3 linked regions of the Saccharomyces cerevisiae S288C genome follow. The protein of the gene in region 3 interacts with the protein of the main gene of each other region in a biochemical or structural test. Each region holds a gene or a part of one and is shown on either strand. Other genes may lie near its edges. The genes, in order: EFR3, STT4 and YPP1.

Evidence for each region.
Region 1: the proteins of YPP1 (region 3) and EFR3 form a complex in vitro, tested with the Saccharomyces cerevisiae proteins (2 studies listed by BioGRID).
Region 2: the proteins of YPP1 (region 3) and STT4 form a complex in vitro, tested with the Saccharomyces cerevisiae proteins (2 studies listed by BioGRID).

The regions. Positions count from the first base shown.
Region 1 is NC_001145.3:690,064-694,937, reverse strand, and holds EFR3 (Efr3p), read left to right. Parts: upstream 1-1,894; coding exon 1,895-4,243; downstream 4,244-4,874. Other genes in the region: CEF1 (Cef1p), read right to left, coding at 1-1,557; DML1 (Dml1p), read right to left, coding at 4,428-4,874.
Region 2 is NC_001144.5:737,752-745,777, reverse strand, and holds STT4 (1-phosphatidylinositol 4-kinase STT4), read left to right. Parts: upstream 1-1,914; coding exon 1,915-7,617; downstream 7,618-8,026. Other genes in the region: chitin deacetylase CDA1, read right to left, coding at 1-158; NEDD8-conjugating protein UBC12, read right to left, coding at 927-1,490, 1,625-1,627. UniProt on the Saccharomyces cerevisiae protein: Acts on phosphatidylinositol (PI) in the first committed step in the production of the second messenger inositol 1,4,5,-trisphosphate. STT4 functions in PKC1 protein kinase pathway.
Region 3 is NC_001139.9:892,696-897,721, forward strand, and holds YPP1 (Ypp1p), read left to right. Parts: upstream 1-1,997; coding exon 1,998-4,451; downstream 4,452-5,026. Other genes in the region: SNG1 (Sng1p), read right to left, coding at 1-1,445; dolichyl-phosphate-mannose-protein mannosyltransferase PMT6, read left to right, coding at 4,807-5,026. UniProt on the Saccharomyces cerevisiae protein: Involved in endocytosis.

The sequences.
Region 1 (4,874 bases), on a different chromosome or scaffold from region 3:
AGACTCCACTTTTGATTGGATCGATTCCAGAAGAACCTCAGTTGGGGGCATTGCTGTTTTGAATTGTATTTTCATGGAAGTGCGCCCTTGGGTTATATGCTGCATACGCGACTCCACCTCTTTGAGAAAATCTACCGTATCTTCTGGTACCATGTGAGGTTCTTTGTTTATGGCGTTCGCGACTAGCAAGTTGTACTTATTGTCAATCGCGGACTGCGGATTGTTTTTGAATTCTGGTATGGGTAGCGTTGAGTAAGCTAATGGAACGGCTACTAATGAGACGCGTGGCGCATCATTTTGAGATGGTGGTTCTATGAAGTTGTCCTCTTCATTCATCGCTCTTTCATTTTCAAATTCTTTCTCGTATTCCGCTATCTCTGCATCTTCTTCTTTCTCGTCTTCACTTAATACAATTTCGAAATCGTTCTTGGGACTAGGCAAAGATGCGAACATTTGCACTAAAAATTTTCGTATGCGTGATTTTAGCTGTTTACCACTCTTTATATTACTGCGTTCATTATCTTCTTGGCCGGAGTCGTGGGGTAGTAGTTCTTTTGGTGTCAACACAGTGCCAGTTGCTTGTGCCTCGATTAGTTTTTGTCTTTTGCTTTCTAGCTTTTTTTTATAGGTGACTTTTCCCTGTTTCGTTCCTGGTGCAGATAGTATAAGTTTTGGTTTTTTATACTCATCCGTCAATGTAGTAGATTCACCCAGTGCTGCTTTCTCAACGTGTTCGTTCTCATCGTGTTTTCTTTTTTTGTCCTTATTTTTTTTACTTGGCTTATCCTTATTACCATCCAAACCTTTTCTGTTGACTTTTCTCTCAAACTGCTCAAACTTCTTTTTTATCTGGCGGTCTTCAGTGGACGTGTCATATATACCTGGCATGGGAGCTTGTTCATATACTATATCTTCATTGTAATCAATGTCGGTGCCGTATTTTTTTTTCGGTTTCTTAATGGCAACATTAATTCCTGCTTGCTTTAGCTCACGCCTCTTTTGTAGTTCAGCAATGCGTTTTGATTCTTCGAGCATCCGCTCTCTAATCTTTCTTGTAGCCTTCTTACCTTGGGTATTTAACAGACGAGCCCTAGCTTCAGCAAGCATTTCCTTTTCCTCATCTTCCAAATCACCATTATCTGGTCTAGCCATTTGAGTTTCAGCGTTAGGATTAATATCCCCGGCTTTCAAGTCAGTAACTCCTGTACTTAACGCAGCCCCTCCACTGTCTTCACTTTCTAATAGCCTATTATATCTTTCGACGCAGACCTGTGCAGGCCTGGCCATCATATCAGCTATGGTCCTCCACTGATTAGGCAGCTCTCTTGCAAGATCTAGAAGTTGGGCATCCTCCTCCTTCGAGAACTCTGTAAAATTCAACTTTGGATTTAAATATTCATTCCACCTTAATTCACTCTGCCTGGCAGTCTTTTTCTGCAAAAGGGATGCTACTTTGCTCCACTGATGAGTTCCGTATTTTTGTACAGCCGCTTTAAGAATCTGATCCTCCACATTGGTCCATACACCGCCTTTCACGTATATTGGTACGGGGGGCATCTTGAAATGCTAGTATAGTCCTCTTAGAAATGTTTTGCTTTTTTTCTTTACTATCTTCCTGAGTCGCATATGCTTTTTTGTCATAATAGTTCATAGCATTAATTTTTCATTAAACTTCAACCCCGGCCAAAGGAAGAGGAAGAAAATTTTGTTCGAACTACTAGGAAGGTAATGGTTTTGTTGAAAAAGCCAGGCAGCCAGGATAAATTGAAAGTATTGTGAGCAACCCCGCTATTGGAGTAGTATTAATTCAGTGGCAGACTGTATATTGAACCCAGATCATTCGCTCTATTATTCATCTTTCGTTCATTTTCAATTGTTCTGAAAGTGGTTTGCGATGCAGTTGTCTATGCGGATGATGTTCACACCAAAACATCAGAAACTGGTCAATCAATGTTATCCTACGGGAAGGACCACAGATAAGAAGCCTAAATCTTCGGAAACTTCATATTTGCTATATTACGTTAACTCGAGGCGTAGTAAATTGGAGAAAGTTAGCACTTACCTGATTAAGCGTTCCACTTCCGACTTGAACCATCGGCGCATAGGGAACATAGCCGTTACATTGGATTTAATGAACAAAATTGTGTTGCATTGTAAGGAGAATTTGAATGTATTTGTTAAAGATTTTTTGTACATTATGAACAAAGTTCTTTCCAACAACAATTTTAACAATGATGTATCTGTTGTTGAATTAATAGAACTGGCATTTAGTAGTATATGCCAGAACTTGGACGACGTCTTGTGTAACGGTGACATGGAATTCGTCCAGTTATACCAGAACTTTGTTGATCTTTTTTTTAAAATAGTTACTGAAAGAATTCATAATGATGACATGCTTCTGAAATGCTGTATTGATATATCAAACACAAATAGTGTTTCAAGCAACCCACAACTAAACCACTTTGTTTCCAAGTCTGTTGCCTATACTATTTCAAAGTTCCAAGAGAGAAATCCGAAATTTAAAACTTTGTCGCTGGAAGCAGCTCTGGAGAGCAATTTAGGAAAAAGGCTAAGTCGAACACAAACTCGTACAATTGGGTTAGATAAGGCCGCCGAAGATAATCATGACCTTTCAGTAAAAGCATTGCAATCCTATTTTAACACAACTGAGACAGACAAATTGAATTTGTCTATTCGTACTCTGTTGCGCTGTCTGCAAAGTACACCTAATAAGGAACTGCTAGAGTTTGTATGCAATGGTATACCTGTTCAGTTACGATATATTGTTATACTTCTTTTGGTCAGACAACTAAGCGACAAGGATAAAAATGTAAATCCAATTGTTTCCTTGAAATTGATGTCGTCATTACTTGTTTCAGATGTCAGTATAGTGGGGTTGAGTGTTCTTGATATAATGAGAAAGCTTTTAAATTTCCAGTTGAAAAATGCAACTAATAAAGAAGTTGTGGCACAGTCTTGTATCACCATGACAGACCTTAACCATAAAACTTATTACGCTGAACAGACCTCAGATATGTTATATGAACTACTATTGAAATTGAAAAGTGACACCGTCAAGGATGTTGAAAAGAATGCAGTTGTGGAAGATATTGATTTCCTCGTTGAACATATTACGCAGCCAAGTATCAGTTTGGAATTATTCATCGACTTGGCGCATTACATGAAAAACCACATTATATGTTTATTTAACATTGTTGAAACTGAGGTTCCAAGCAGCATTCTCTTTTCAAAACTGTACTCATTATTACGTGAACTGGATTCACATGGTGTGCAAAAAGAAATGATGGAAGAGATCTTTGACAAGTATGGAAAAATGGCACTATTATCCGGTTTGAATTATTTTCTAGAGAACGTTTCTGAGCCTGAGTATACCTATTATTCGTACCATTTACAAGCAGCTAACTTTTTAAAACTCAATGACTACAAGTCACAAACTGAGTACAAAATGCAAACTAGAACTTTGTTTACCAAGGAAGATTTATTGTCATACTATTCTGATACTGGATCAAATAAATACAGCAAGAAGGGGGCGCAGATTTTATTGTCTCGTGATAATCAAATTTCTACTTCTGATTTACTGTCGGACTCTCAAGTTCGTACTACACCTCTGGAGTACAAGAATGTCCCTAATGCTATTTTTTCAAATGGGAAAGCAGTGTATGATAACAACGATTTTGCGGCCAAGCAAAATAAATTCGACAACAGCATAGATGACAATATAGAAGAAGCTAACGATACTGTAATTTCTGATGCTAATGCAAAAGGTAGTATCTATAGGTTTGTTGCTGAGGACGCAAGATCATGGAAAACAATGAGAGCCACCGCACCAAAAGTTAGCGATTTGAAAAAAACTATGAATGAAAAGAATATTCCAAATAATATGAAAAGAGATGGCTCTTTTCGGGGTTCTCAATCAGTGAAATCTCGTGTCACTAATATCACATTTTTATTAAATGAATTGAAAACTTTTTCAGATGACGCGAATAAAATCAAAGATCCTGATGAGGAGAATATTGTTGGCTTGGATAAAATCGACGTTGCTAGATCAAATTCTCTGCGACTTGCACCAATATCTAGTCTTTCTGATCGCAGTAGCATTGGAAATAGAAAATCCTTTTTGCAAAAAACAGCAACTGGTGAAAATCAAAACGATGACTTTAAAGACGCAAATGAAGATTTACATTCTTTAAGTTCAAGAGGTAAAATTTTCTCCTCCACTTGAGAAATTAAGTTTTTGACGGACAGCTGTGGATGCTTTCAAGGGCAAGAGTGATATAGCATGACTTTCTAATTAATGTAATTTACGTAGATATAGATCAAATGGCGAAGTAAAAACTTCGAAAAAGATGGAAGAAGTCCTGTTTGCCTCAACTGGAGAAAGGAAATACGTAGCTGCAAACTGCTTATCACATATCGTCATCACCAGAATCTTCGTCTTCATACCACCCAGATTCGTACGCTGAGGCGTAATCGGAAAGTTCATTTTTCAATTCTTCTCTGTCACTATCATTTTTGAAGTACCTTACCACAAACTCATTCCAATGTTTGAATATATCTCGATTTTTTTCAGATGATTCTAATTCCAAAACAAATTCACGATCATTGGAAAATTCTGTCGGTATCGTATCAGATGGAAAATACCTGTGTGTATACATTTCAATCATCTTACTCCGTGAATCAGGTTCGGAATGATGTTTATGCGTTTGATTTCCTCTATCAATGAAACTTTTTGAAAATATGTGAGTAGAATTTGGTTTGTGGCTATTCTTGAAAGGAAGTACTCGAGAACAGAATGAGTAATCGGTGTCACCGATAACCATGCCAGTGACCATATTTCGCGACGAATATCCTAA
Region 2 (8,026 bases), on a different chromosome or scaffold from region 3:
TGTGTAAGATTAGTAAATTCTGTTAACCACTCTGGAAAGGGCGTTTGCATATCTACTTCCCCCATCAATGCGGTACTCCCATTTGACGCAAGGCAATTTCCCTGTTTTAGAAAAAATGCTGCGAACAGCACAGATTGTATTGTATTGAAAATTTTCATCTCTTTTCTTGTGTAAAAGTAAATCTATCACTTAATTTTGTTTCTCTATATTCCACTTTGCTTACTTCTAAGCATCTACTTTGTTAGAACTATTGGTCTTTTTGAAAACACAAAAGTAAATCAACCCACTTGTTGGTATTTTTCTCTTTTAATTGCGATTGAATGACGGCCGGTCCGGAAAATGTGACATCTGGAAAAGAGAAATGTTGAAGCTGCTTCCAAGTGCATGAGACAGAATTTTTTTTACAGAAAATAGAAAGCGTTATCTTGTTAAATATTACTAACTAGTATAGTCATTCATTTTTTTCTTCCATAGTTGTAATATCTTTATTTTTTGTAAGAATTAGCGATAGCTGAGATTGCGTTCTTCAACTTCCTGCTCTCTCTTAGTCTTCTATCCAGGGTATCTCACCTTCCTGATTATCTTGTCAATAGCCATGGCTTCGCTGTTTCTTTATTATAAGAAGTATTTTTTGTTTTCTTCAAGAAATTTTTCGTATTAATATCTTTATGTTTTGTTTGCCTTTACTGGCCAGAAATTTTATACTTATTTTGAATAGAACACATTAAGTTCTACAGGTACCTGCAAAATATCGAGACAAAAGTTTGAACGAGAATATAAGGAATGTTGGTCATAAGGCGTAAACTAACAGAAGATGGCGGTAGCAAGATGTTACCAAGGCGACAACTCGCCTAGTATGTCACAATTATCTATAATTTTATTGTTTATATATAATCAAATCAACCGAAAATTACTCTGAACTTGACTCAAGGAGAAACTATGTTATCATATTTGACATGTTCAATTGAACCTCCAGACATGGTCAATCTCACAGCTTCAGCAAATTCTTTCTCACCCTCACACAGTAACTTTGCTGCATCCTTGTTTAACGGGTCATTGGGATTAGGCTCCAAGAACAAGAAAAGAAGCCCGGTTATAATACTCTGCAAATCTAGAGCTGGCGACCAGTCTTCTCGAAGAATATTTAGGCAAACGTTCCCCTTTAAATCGATATTTGGATGAAAGATCTTCTTCAAACATACAACTTTTGGTGGTTCAATCGGATAAACTTCGTTAAAATCCAAATTGAAATTAATAGATCCATAATTATAATATCCTTCATCAGGCCTAACAATTACCTCCAATTTCGGCGATTGTGATCTATCCGCACTATCTGGTGATGTTATTACATTCAAAGTCACTGTTGGTGGGAGGTCCAGCGAATCAAGGTCCCTTTTCAAACGAATTCTTGCTGCCGATAAATTAGGCTGAATAGAACTGCTGTTTTCATTTTCTTTTTGCTTTTTCTTTTGTAATTGGCGTAATTTCAACTATTTGAATAAAGCCAAGAATATACATATCCAGTACACATATACATTCTCACCCCCCAAAAAGATTATGTTAGTATTTTCGATCGCTAAAAACCGCCAATGAGAAACGGAAAGATATAGTTGCATCTACGTACCATTTTTATTATCTTGTTTTATATTCTCTAACTGATTCTTTAATGTCTCTAAGTACATTTATGAATGATTGGCCTTTTTCATCTCATTTTACCTTTTGGCTGATATCATCAAACGGCACGCGCAGGGATGAAGGTACGTTAATAGTATTTTTTTTTTTCAAGAATACTGCGAAGATGTTTGAGTTGTGGGAAAAAACATATTCAACATTAATAACTATTGTAAATCAAGAAAAAAATTAGATCACAAAAAGATAACTACAGCAATCGAAAACGCCACTCGTTTAAGGCAGATGAGATTTACCAGAGGATTGAAAGCCTCTTCATCTTTAAGAGCGAAAGCTATTGGAAGACTAACTAAACTTTCGACGGGTGCACCAAATGATCAAAACAGTAATGGTACAACATTAGATTTGATAACTCATACATTGCCTATTTTTTATTCCACAAATACGTCAAAGATATATACTATACCACTTACATTGAGTGAATGGGAAGTACTAACTTCGCTTTGTGTTGCAATCCCTACCACGCTCGATCTGGTAGAGACAATGCTTAAAGAAATAATTGCGCCTTATTTTCTGGAAACTCCAAGACAAAGAATTTCAGATGTTCTGTCCTCGAAATTCAAGTTGGAACAGATGAGAAATCCGATTGAATTGCTAACTTTCCAGCTGACTAAGTTTATGATTCAAGCTTGTGAACAGTATCCCGTTCTTTATGAAAATATAGGCGGCATCATTTCAACTTATTTTGAGCGTGTATTAAAGATTTTTACTATTAAACAATCTGGTCTACTATCATTAGTGGGCTTTATTAATGCATTTATCCAGTTTCCCAACTCTACAGAGCTTACTAAATTCACCTGGAAAAAGTTAGCGAAACTTGTGCTTCGTGGATCATTTCTAAACGAAGTTGATAAGATTTTGAATTCCTCAGCAACGTTTACCAATGATTCAATCGTCCAGTATTACGATGCTGGAAATGAGCTATCCAGTGCCTACTTATTGGAATTAATATCTCGCTTGCAAGTTTCGCTAATATCTCATCTGTTAAACACTTCACATGTCGGCGCCAACTTGAGTGAGTTCTTACTAAATCAACAATACCAATTTTACAAATTTGATCAAGAAGTAGCCGATGAAAACGATGATACGAAGTGTATTGATGACTTTTTTTTCAACGTAAGAAGCAATAAACAGTTTTTTACAGACATGTGTAAAATTTCCCTGCAATTTTGTTCTGAGTCACATATTCTCGACCTATCTACAGACAACCGTGCAAGATTTTCTTTTGATACTCGAGCCCACTACCTACAAACGCTATGTTTAATTCCGTTTATAGAAGATACAGAAAGCGAGCTTTTTGAAAGTTTTACAAACGTTGTTTCTGAATCTATTGATAAATTTTTCTTATCTGATGTCGTTACACCATCTTTGATAAAAGCAATTGTAGCTTCTGCCTCATTACTGAATTTTTTCACGGAAAAATTGTCATTAACTCTGATTCGTATGTTTCCTTTATTGGTAGCGTCTCCACATATCACGACTGAAACAGTTAATGATGTTGCAAAAATATTCACCACAGGGTTATACCCTCTAAATGAAGATGCAATTGTGAGTACAATTTATTCCATGAACAACTTATTAGCTGTTTCCGAGGACGGATCGCCCGTCCCGGTGCTCCGTGAGCGCCAATTAACAATAACATCTGGAAAAAATATTGAGAAAGACTACTTTCCCTTGCGAAATTCATCTGCCAGTTTGGATGGCACTGGTGCTCTGCTCGGAAATACAACTGTGGGCCAACTTTCCTCCCATGATGTCAATAGTGGAGCTACTATGACATACCATGCCTCTTTGATATCTAATTGTGTGGCTGCAACGACTACAATCGCCTCATACTATAACACCCAAAGCATAACAGCTTTGACTATCTCTATTCTTACGCAAAAAGTTAATTCTATGTCAAAGGAATTAGACGGTGTTATTTTGAATTCTTTGGCAAGACTGGCTCCGAATACTTCACTGACAGAATTTTCGCTTTTACTAAAGTTCTTCAAATCGAGAACTGTTATTGCAACAAAAATTGATGATAGCGCACTATTGAAAAATATTATTAAAGCGAAATGTGTGATATCAAAAGAATTGTTGGCCAGGCATTTTTCAAGTGACTTATATTTCATGTATCTTCATGATCTATTGGACTCAATCATTGCCAGTGGGGAAGTAGAACGATTGGAACATCACAGACCTCAAACGGAGATTTCCCGTGTTGCTGATCAAATCGCTACCTACTTAGAGCCCCTCGCCGCTCTACTACCTGTTCCAGGCGATACGCCATTGGACATCAATAAGGATGAAGTCACTACAAACAAGTTTAGGAACGCCTGGTTTAATTTTGTCATCCATGGGTACCACTTGGGCGGGCCTATTGTCAAACGAAATTTTTCTTTCTTATTAACTATTGCCTATAATTCACCACCGCTGGCTTCTGAATTTCCTGCTAATAACAAGGAGCTTTCATTGGAAATGAATACAATTTTGCGCCGCGGTTCATCTAACGAAAATATCAAACAACAAAAACAGCAGATAACCGAATATTTCAATACCAATATTGTTCAGTACAGAACAACTTCATCGTCTAAAATCATGTTTTTAGCGGCTGCCGTTCTTCTAGAAACGATAAGATGCGAGGCAGGTGATTGTTCGAAGACTCTACTGTACTTCTCAGACCCCTCCATTCTTTCCGGTTCAATTGAGAAGTGTATTGCAGTTTTGTCGGTTTCCATGATTAGAAAATATGCTAGGTTGATTCAAAAGGGTAACGATGCCATATTCAACTCCAAAATGATTGCTCAACAACTTAATAACTTGCTACTTTGCCTTTCTCATAGGGAACCAACTTTGCAGGATGCCGCTTTTCATGCCTGTGAAATATTTATCAGATCTATTCCATCATCGTTATGTCATCATTTGTCTCTCTACACCTTATTAGATATGTTAACAGCCCTATTTGATAGTATCTTGGACTCAGAGGCGCATAAATTTGAACCACGGTATGAATTTAAATTAAAACATTCTAAGACAACAATATTGGTTCCAAGCTCATCGTCCTGGCGCGCTACGACACTATCAAGATTGCACAAGTCAGCTAAAGAATGGGTAAGAATTCTATTGAATAGAAGCAACCAGGATACTAAGATTTTGTTGCAATCATACATATCAGATCTCGGTGAGTACAGCAGGCTAAATTCTGTTGAATTTGGTGTCTCATTTGCCATGGATATGGCTGGTTTGATTTTACCTGCAGATAAGGAATTATCAAGGCTTACTTATTATGGTCCAGAGAAACCTAACACGATTTCTGGATTTATATCTTTACATTCTTGGAGGTCAAAATATCTTTTCGATACCGCTATTACATCATCACCAGAGGATATCAAAAGGCAAATAGGTATTTCCACTCAAAACATAAGAAAAAATTTGACCTTAGGAAATAAGATTATAACTAAAGACGTAACTGATTTTCTTGATATGGCTACCGCGTTGTTAATTCTTGGCAATGGTGCACCAGCGTCATTGATATATGATATTGTGCACATCCCGTTCGAAGTCTTCACCTCTGCATCTTTAAAGATTGCTACAAACGTATGGTTAACAATCATAACTGAGAAGCCCGAAGTTGCACATTTGCTTTTAGTTGAAGTATGCTATTGCTGGATGCGCTCCATTGATGACAATATTGGTCTCTATTCTCGCGATCATGACTTAAAGGGCGAAGAATACCAAAAAATGGAATATTCCCCTTACGACAAAGCAGGTATCAACAGAGATGCAAAAAATGCATCCCAAGCTATGCAACCACATCTTCATGTTATTAAATTTTTTGCTTCCCATTTCGAGGGCACACTATTTCAAAGTGACTTTTTATTGAAAATTTTCACGAAATGTGCGCTTTATGGTATCAAGAATCTGTATAAGGCTTCACTACACCCGTTCGCTAGAATGATTCGCCACGAATTATTGTTATTCGCGACTCTCGTACTAAACGCAAGTTATAAGCAGGGATCCAAGTATATGGGCCGTTTGTCGCAAGAAATCACAAACGGTGCCCTAAGTTGGTTTAAAAGACCAGTAGCGTGGCCATTCGGCTCAAATGAGCTGAAAATCAAAGCAGATTTATCTGTTACTAGGGACCTTTTCCTTCAGCTCAACAAATTAAGCTCGCTAATGTCACGTCATTGCGGGAAAGATTACAAGATCCTGAACTATTTCTTGGCAAGCGAAATCCAGCAGATTCAAACCTGGCTTACTCCGACTGAGAAGATTGAAGGAGCCGACAGCAACGAGCTTACAAGCGATATCGTTGAAGCTACCTTTGCTAAAGATCCAACATTAGCAATAAATCTCTTACAACGATGTTATAGCAAGAAAGCTGAGGATGTTTTAGTGGGCTTAGTTGCAAAACATGCTTTAATGTGTGTGGGGTCCCCAAGTGCTCTTGACCTGTTCATAAAAGGAAGCCACCTGAGCAGTAAGAAAGACCTACACGCAACCTTATACTGGGCGCCAGTGAGCCCGTTAAAATCTATCAACCTTTTCCTTCCCGAATGGCAAGGTAATTCTTTTATCTTACAATTCAGCATATATTCGTTGGAATCACAAGATGTGAACTTGGCATTCTTCTATGTTCCTCAAATCGTACAATGTTTGAGATACGATAAAACCGGATATGTCGAAAGATTGATTTTGGATACTGCGAAAATTAGTGTGTTATTTTCTCATCAAATAATCTGGAATATGCTTGCAAACTGCTACAAGGATGATGAAGGTATACAAGAAGATGAAATCAAACCAACTCTAGATCGTATTAGGGAGCGTATGGTTTCAAGTTTCAGCCAATCTCATCGCGATTTTTACGAACGTGAATTTGAATTCTTCGACGAAGTAACTGGCATATCTGGTAAGTTGAAACCATACATAAAAAAAAGTAAGGCTGAAAAGAAACATAAGATCGATGAAGAAATGAGCAAAATTGAGGTGAAACCTGATGTTTATTTACCTTCTAATCCTGACGGTGTAGTTATTGATATTGATCGGAAGAGTGGTAAGCCACTTCAATCTCACGCAAAGGCGCCTTTTATGGCGACCTTTAAAATAAAGAAAGACGTAAAAGATCCTTTGACAGGTAAAAACAAGGAAGTTGAAAAATGGCAAGCTGCTATCTTCAAAGTCGGTGATGACTGTAGGCAAGATGTTCTAGCGTTACAATTGATCTCGCTATTTAGAACCATTTGGTCTAGTATTGGCTTGGATGTCTACGTTTTTCCCTACAGAGTTACTGCGACGGCACCGGGTTGTGGTGTCATCGATGTGCTACCCAATTCGGTATCCCGTGATATGTTAGGACGTGAAGCTGTTAATGGATTATATGAATATTTCACTAGTAAATTTGGTAATGAATCTACTATCGAATTTCAAAACGCACGAAACAACTTTGTTAAATCCTTAGCGGGATATAGCGTAATTTCGTATTTGTTGCAATTCAAGGATAGACATAATGGTAACATTATGTACGATGATCAAGGACATTGTCTACATATCGATTTTGGGTTTATTTTTGATATTGTCCCAGGTGGTATCAAGTTTGAAGCAGTACCATTCAAGCTGACGAAAGAAATGGTTAAAGTGATGGGAGGTTCGCCCCAGACCCCAGCGTATCTGGACTTTGAAGAACTTTGTATCAAGGCATATCTAGCCGCCCGTCCGCACGTGGAGGCCATAATTGAGTGTGTAAATCCTATGTTAGGAAGCGGTCTCCCCTGCTTTAAGGGTCACAAGACAATTAGGAATCTAAGAGCAAGATTTCAACCTCAAAAAACCGATCACGAAGCTGCACTATATATGAAGGCGCTAATCCGTAAAAGTTATGAAAGTATATTCACTAAAGGTTATGATGAATTCCAAAGGCTCACAAATGGCATTCCGTACTGATATACTTCGCACTTTACATATGCTTATATAAAAATACCAGTTTCCCATCGTCAATTACGCAGACGTAGCCTTCGTTTATTTTCTCTCTTTTTGTATATCATTGTATTAATCATAATCCATTGTATTTTACTTTGTCTTATCTGGCTTTAATGAATGACGCCGGTCACACGCGGGTGCCTGATTCTCGATTGTGCCAAGCCATTTGGGCACGGTGTCAAATTACCTAAAAAATGGCCGAGAGCCGCAAAAGGGAGGTCCGCGGGGCCGGGCAATACCCTTTGTTTTTCGAGCATTTCGGCGCCGAAATCGGCAAAGGTCCTGACCAATCAATAGAGAAATTAGTGCATACGAGAAAAATTTGAACCCTTCAGTTGTTCTCCGCAGGCGACTTTAACCATCAAACCTCCAA
Region 3 (5,026 bases):
ATTTTTCTTTTGGTTAAATTCAAAAAAATCACTTTATAGATATCCACGGCATTATGGATTGGCATTATGTAGCCGTACCTGTAAAATTCGTTGTTCAAAACCATTGGGTAGAATGAAGCAGAAATATTTAATATGATCCACGTCATCAACCAAATACTCAGGTATGGAGGGCAGTAAGCTATAACTAAGCTGAGAACGTTTTCATTGGCACCACCAACAGCCATCATTACCAACCACGTAGACATCCAATATACTACGAATCCTCCTCTGCCAAAGGCGGGGGTGAAATCGATCCTAAAAATTGCAGATACGGTACAGAATCCAATGGAAAGAAGAAAATAAGTTGCCCAGGAAATTAGAAGCCTGTAGATTAAAATATGCTTTGGCTTCAGAACTCTGGCCATTTCTCCGTGCAACTTACCATATAATGACAGTTGTAAAACGGTTAACAAAATACAATAAATCAGACCGACCTGCAGAGGGGCCATTAGAATACGATCAGCAAAGGGACGATAATCGTTGTAGGTGAACAACAACTGTCCTGCAATCGCCCAGTTCTCCATGTTTATATTAAGATCTCTGTCATTAGAAGTGATGTTGCTCATCAATGAGGGAAGATATTCCTTGACGTAATATTTCTGAAGGCGGACCTCCAATTGTTGCATGAGTGGTAGAATGGTCGATTTAACACTCGATGGGTCACGACCACTTTCAAACACGGATTCAAAAAAAATTGATGAATTGAACTCCGAGTTTGCGTCTTGGCTAATCAAAGAATTATACAAAGTGTCTGTAGCATTAGGTTTAACGTTTAACGCCAGCCAGTATCTCTCATCGTAAATTAAATCGACTATCTTTCTGTCAATTTCGGTGGAGTTCGTCGTACCAAATTTCCTATGAAATGATGTTGCGTTGTATATATGCCATGTCCCGGGGACAGACGCTAACAATGAGGGTATGATCGCGGAAATAGATTGAACTGAAGTATTAGATGGCGCATCCTGCAATACAACAATATTTTTCACTTTGAAAAAGTAACGATCTGTTCCGTAACAGGCACCCCAGTAAATCGATATGAGCGATACACACACACAAGCAATGAAGAAGTTGTTCAAAACAAACTTCGAGAGAATCTTTTTCCTATGATTTCGCAGTCTTGGAGAAAAAAGCCCTGTTTGAATTCTTGCCAAGGGACCGCCGTCGTTACCGCCCTTCTCTTCCTCATTAGCGCCACCTTCCCCCACAGATGACAATGAGGACGGCTTTTCATCAGGAGGCCGATAGTCTTCTAATGACTTTGCTAAGTCAGAAGAATGGCCGGAACCCTCAGCAAATCGCTGATTACTGTACGAAACCCCGTCCCTGCCGCCAGTAAATGCAGCTGCTGCTGCAAAACTAGGGTCCTCAATGTACTGTGACTCTTCATCACCAACCGATTTAGTCATATTTGTTCTCTGTACGGCTACTTACACTTATGTCAGTACCCGATTCTTACGGCGTATAAAAGATTAAAGAAACAGGATATGTGGCTTGATATATACAAAAAAAAAGAACGATATGGAGTACACTATGTATCTCTCAACAATGCTAAGATATGAAGACGCTTATTGACTACGCCAGTCCGTTTTCCATTCCCTTCTTCGAATAGGGTGGCCCGTTGATGACAAAGCTGCGAGTCATCTATCATCAAACAAACTCACGGCTTTCGCTTTTCTTTAGTCTATTTCGGATTGTACCACCTCCTCGGACATTCATAAAAGGATTCGAAAACGAATAACCACGCATATACACGGAAATAGGAGAAAACTAAACGGGAATCGGTTTATTTTTTTCTCAACATTTCTTTTTCCTGATTTTCCATCCTTTTCGAGATCCACCTATTGTGGTGAAAAATAACGAAAATATGTGCTTTAGGTGTGCAAGGCATAATGTGTGGCATACTGGAAGGAACAAGTTGAACACGCCAGCTGGAAAGAAGTTCAATACCAACTTGCCCAATGCCTAACTCAAATGTTCGGATTCCTCCTACTGTTCCATCGAAGATAATAGATGTGGTCGACCAAGCGCTAAGAGCGCGACTCTTAGGTGGCAGCACCTTCAATTCAGGGTTTGATAGTTTAGATTCCGTACTTAACTTACAGTTTAGACTACATTACCATGTTATTGGATCGAATGGGCCTGCAAAACCAGTTTGTGATGTTTTACTGAAGGAAAGTCAAAATTTAGAAAAGAATATGAGTATGATGGAGGAGTTGAATGACTATCCGGAGATTACAAAACTAGTGGAGAAAATTCTGTTCAATTGCCTCGGTATTCTTTTCTTCCACAGGGGCCAATTTCAGGAATCGCAGCGGTGCTTGCTGCACTCGTTGAAAATTCATAATAACACTGCATCGCAAAAAACAGCACTTATGGAGCAGTATGATAGGTATTTGATCGTAGAAAACCTGTACTACCGTGGTCTAGTTTCGCAAGACATAAATATCATGCAAAATGTTTTTTACAAAGAACTACTGGCCCACGTGGATACGATCCCTCCCGAATCAAACGGTCTTCTTTTCGAATACATCAGCTTGATCGTCGCAAAACTCAGGTTCAATCAAATTCAGGATTTAGCAGAAAATTTTAAAACTACCGTCGAAAATCCTTTTATTCTTTTCCTTTACATGATAAAGAAGTTCCAGTCACCTCTCAAAAAGCACATTGATAATGATGATCTTTATTTGAAGTTCGGACAGAACGTTTTGTTGAAGGCCAAATTTCCTACTGCTAGTGAGACAAATGATGAAGCTTTGGAGCATTTTAATGTCTTTTTGCAGTATTATTTCAAATTCACTCACATAAAAAAAATAAAAGTGAATCCCAGTTGGTATAATTTCATAATATCTTCAATGGAAAAGACTTTTCAAAGTATTGAAGTTTCGAAAACAGCAATGTTTCTTTTCCAAAACCTAAGCGATAACAGTAATGACGAAATAAAGAAGAAGACATTTAAAAGAGAATCTATACTAAATTTTGTTAATTTTGTGAAATACAACGACAAGTACTATCAACTGCACGATAACTCCCACCGTGACATAATTTCATTCATTGATGCGTATTCTTTTATTTTACAAAACTCCTCCAAAACCGATTCAATCGAAAATGTTTTTGATTACGATAATACGGTATCTACGTTTGCGACTTCCTTGAATTCCTTCTACAAAGAATATAATTTGCCATTAATGAGCCAATCAGAATCTTTAGATTGGCTAGAAAACAGCACCAGATGTGTATACCCAGGAAACATTTCGAAAGTTCTAACAAATGCGTGGTCAACATTGTACGAAATCAGAAAATATCAGTTAGATTTTCTTGTATCTAATAATTTGACTTCATATCTATGTAATGCAATGATGCTGTCCACAAAAGAAAAAGACAATGCTGATGTAGAAGAGCAGGAAGAAGGAGAGGAGGAGAAGGCATTACGTGAATTACAATTTAAATATTCTTACACTCTAGCACAACAGAGGCACATTGAAACTGCAATCAAGACTCTAGAATCATTGATATTAAGTAAAAACCCAAATTACTACAAAGCTTGGCATCTATTAGCTCTTTGTAGGTCTGTGCAAGAGGATAAGGAAATGTCGTACAAGATAGTTTGCTCTGTTCTAGAAGCTATGAATGAAAGTCTTCAGAACAATACTTTACTTCTGAATGATAGATGGCAATTTATTCACCTAAAATTAACGCAATTGGCGCTAATTGAAGAAATTTTTGGCACTTTAGAGGCACTGGAGACACTTCCAGAGGTCTTTGAATTATACGCAACATTATTTCCAGATTCACAACCTGAATTGAACAGCATGGGTCCCAAATATTCTCAAACTAAAGAATATCTTTTACAAATGGTGTGGATTTTTGCTGCAAATATGTACATGAGAACAAAAGACAATGATGAGGATGCCAAGGCCGCCATCAAAGAAGCCTCCAATGTCGAAAGTAAATTCAAGAATTTAAATTGTAATATTGCTAACGGTTATTTATCAATAATAAAAGATGAACCAGGCGTGGCATTAAAGGAATTTGAAACAGTTCTGTACTATGATGAGAATAATTTAGATGCCTTGGTCGGATTCGCTGAATTAATTTTCCCTGAAGAACTAGGCGTCGAGGAAACTAATCTTGAGCGTTATTATACTCTCAGCCTTGATAAAAAACCAGGTAAGAGGGCCAAACTTACGTTCGTTAATGACACAGATAGGTCAGCAGCGTATGCAAGACTAAAATTTCTATTGGAGTGCGCAATACTAGAATCGATCGAGGCTTACTATTCCCCAGAAGTTTGGTGGTATTTGTCCCTCATTTACGAGAAATATCAAGATGACGAGTACAAAAACTCTTTGCTAAAATGTATTAAATACCAAGAGTTGAATCCCATTCGCTCCCTAAGGTATTGCAATTACTAACGATAATTCTTCTGATATATACACACACATATATACATATGGGCGCAAGTATATTCTGGTGTAAAGATACTCATAGAAAGCATAAAGATGTAATTCAATCTAGTTGTATTATATTATTCATTGATTTATATTAATTTGATGAACAATGGAACATCTTCTCTTCAATAACGGTTTTGCCCATATACTTGACGTTATTAGGTTACCCGTTTTTATAAATGTAATAAGTTCAATAATTTGAAAAGAGCATTAGCTATAGTCACGTTTCGCGTTGAAACAATTCTTTAAATTATCTTCTCTTGGCAGTTTAATATACCAAACGATAGTCCTAACATACTGTTTTTCTTATTATTTACCAATGAGTAAAGCCAAGGGAACGGGATTTTCATCAATTGATACTGAAGATGAAAACTTACGCGAACGTTATGTTAATCAACCAAAAGCTAATGCCTCCGATATTCAAGATGAACAATTAGATTGCTTTGAGCAACTAGAAGAAAAACATAGGACAAAAAAAAATGAAGAATACACTGCGTTGAAAATTTTAAGGGATGTCATAGGTCCCCTTTTATTAACTA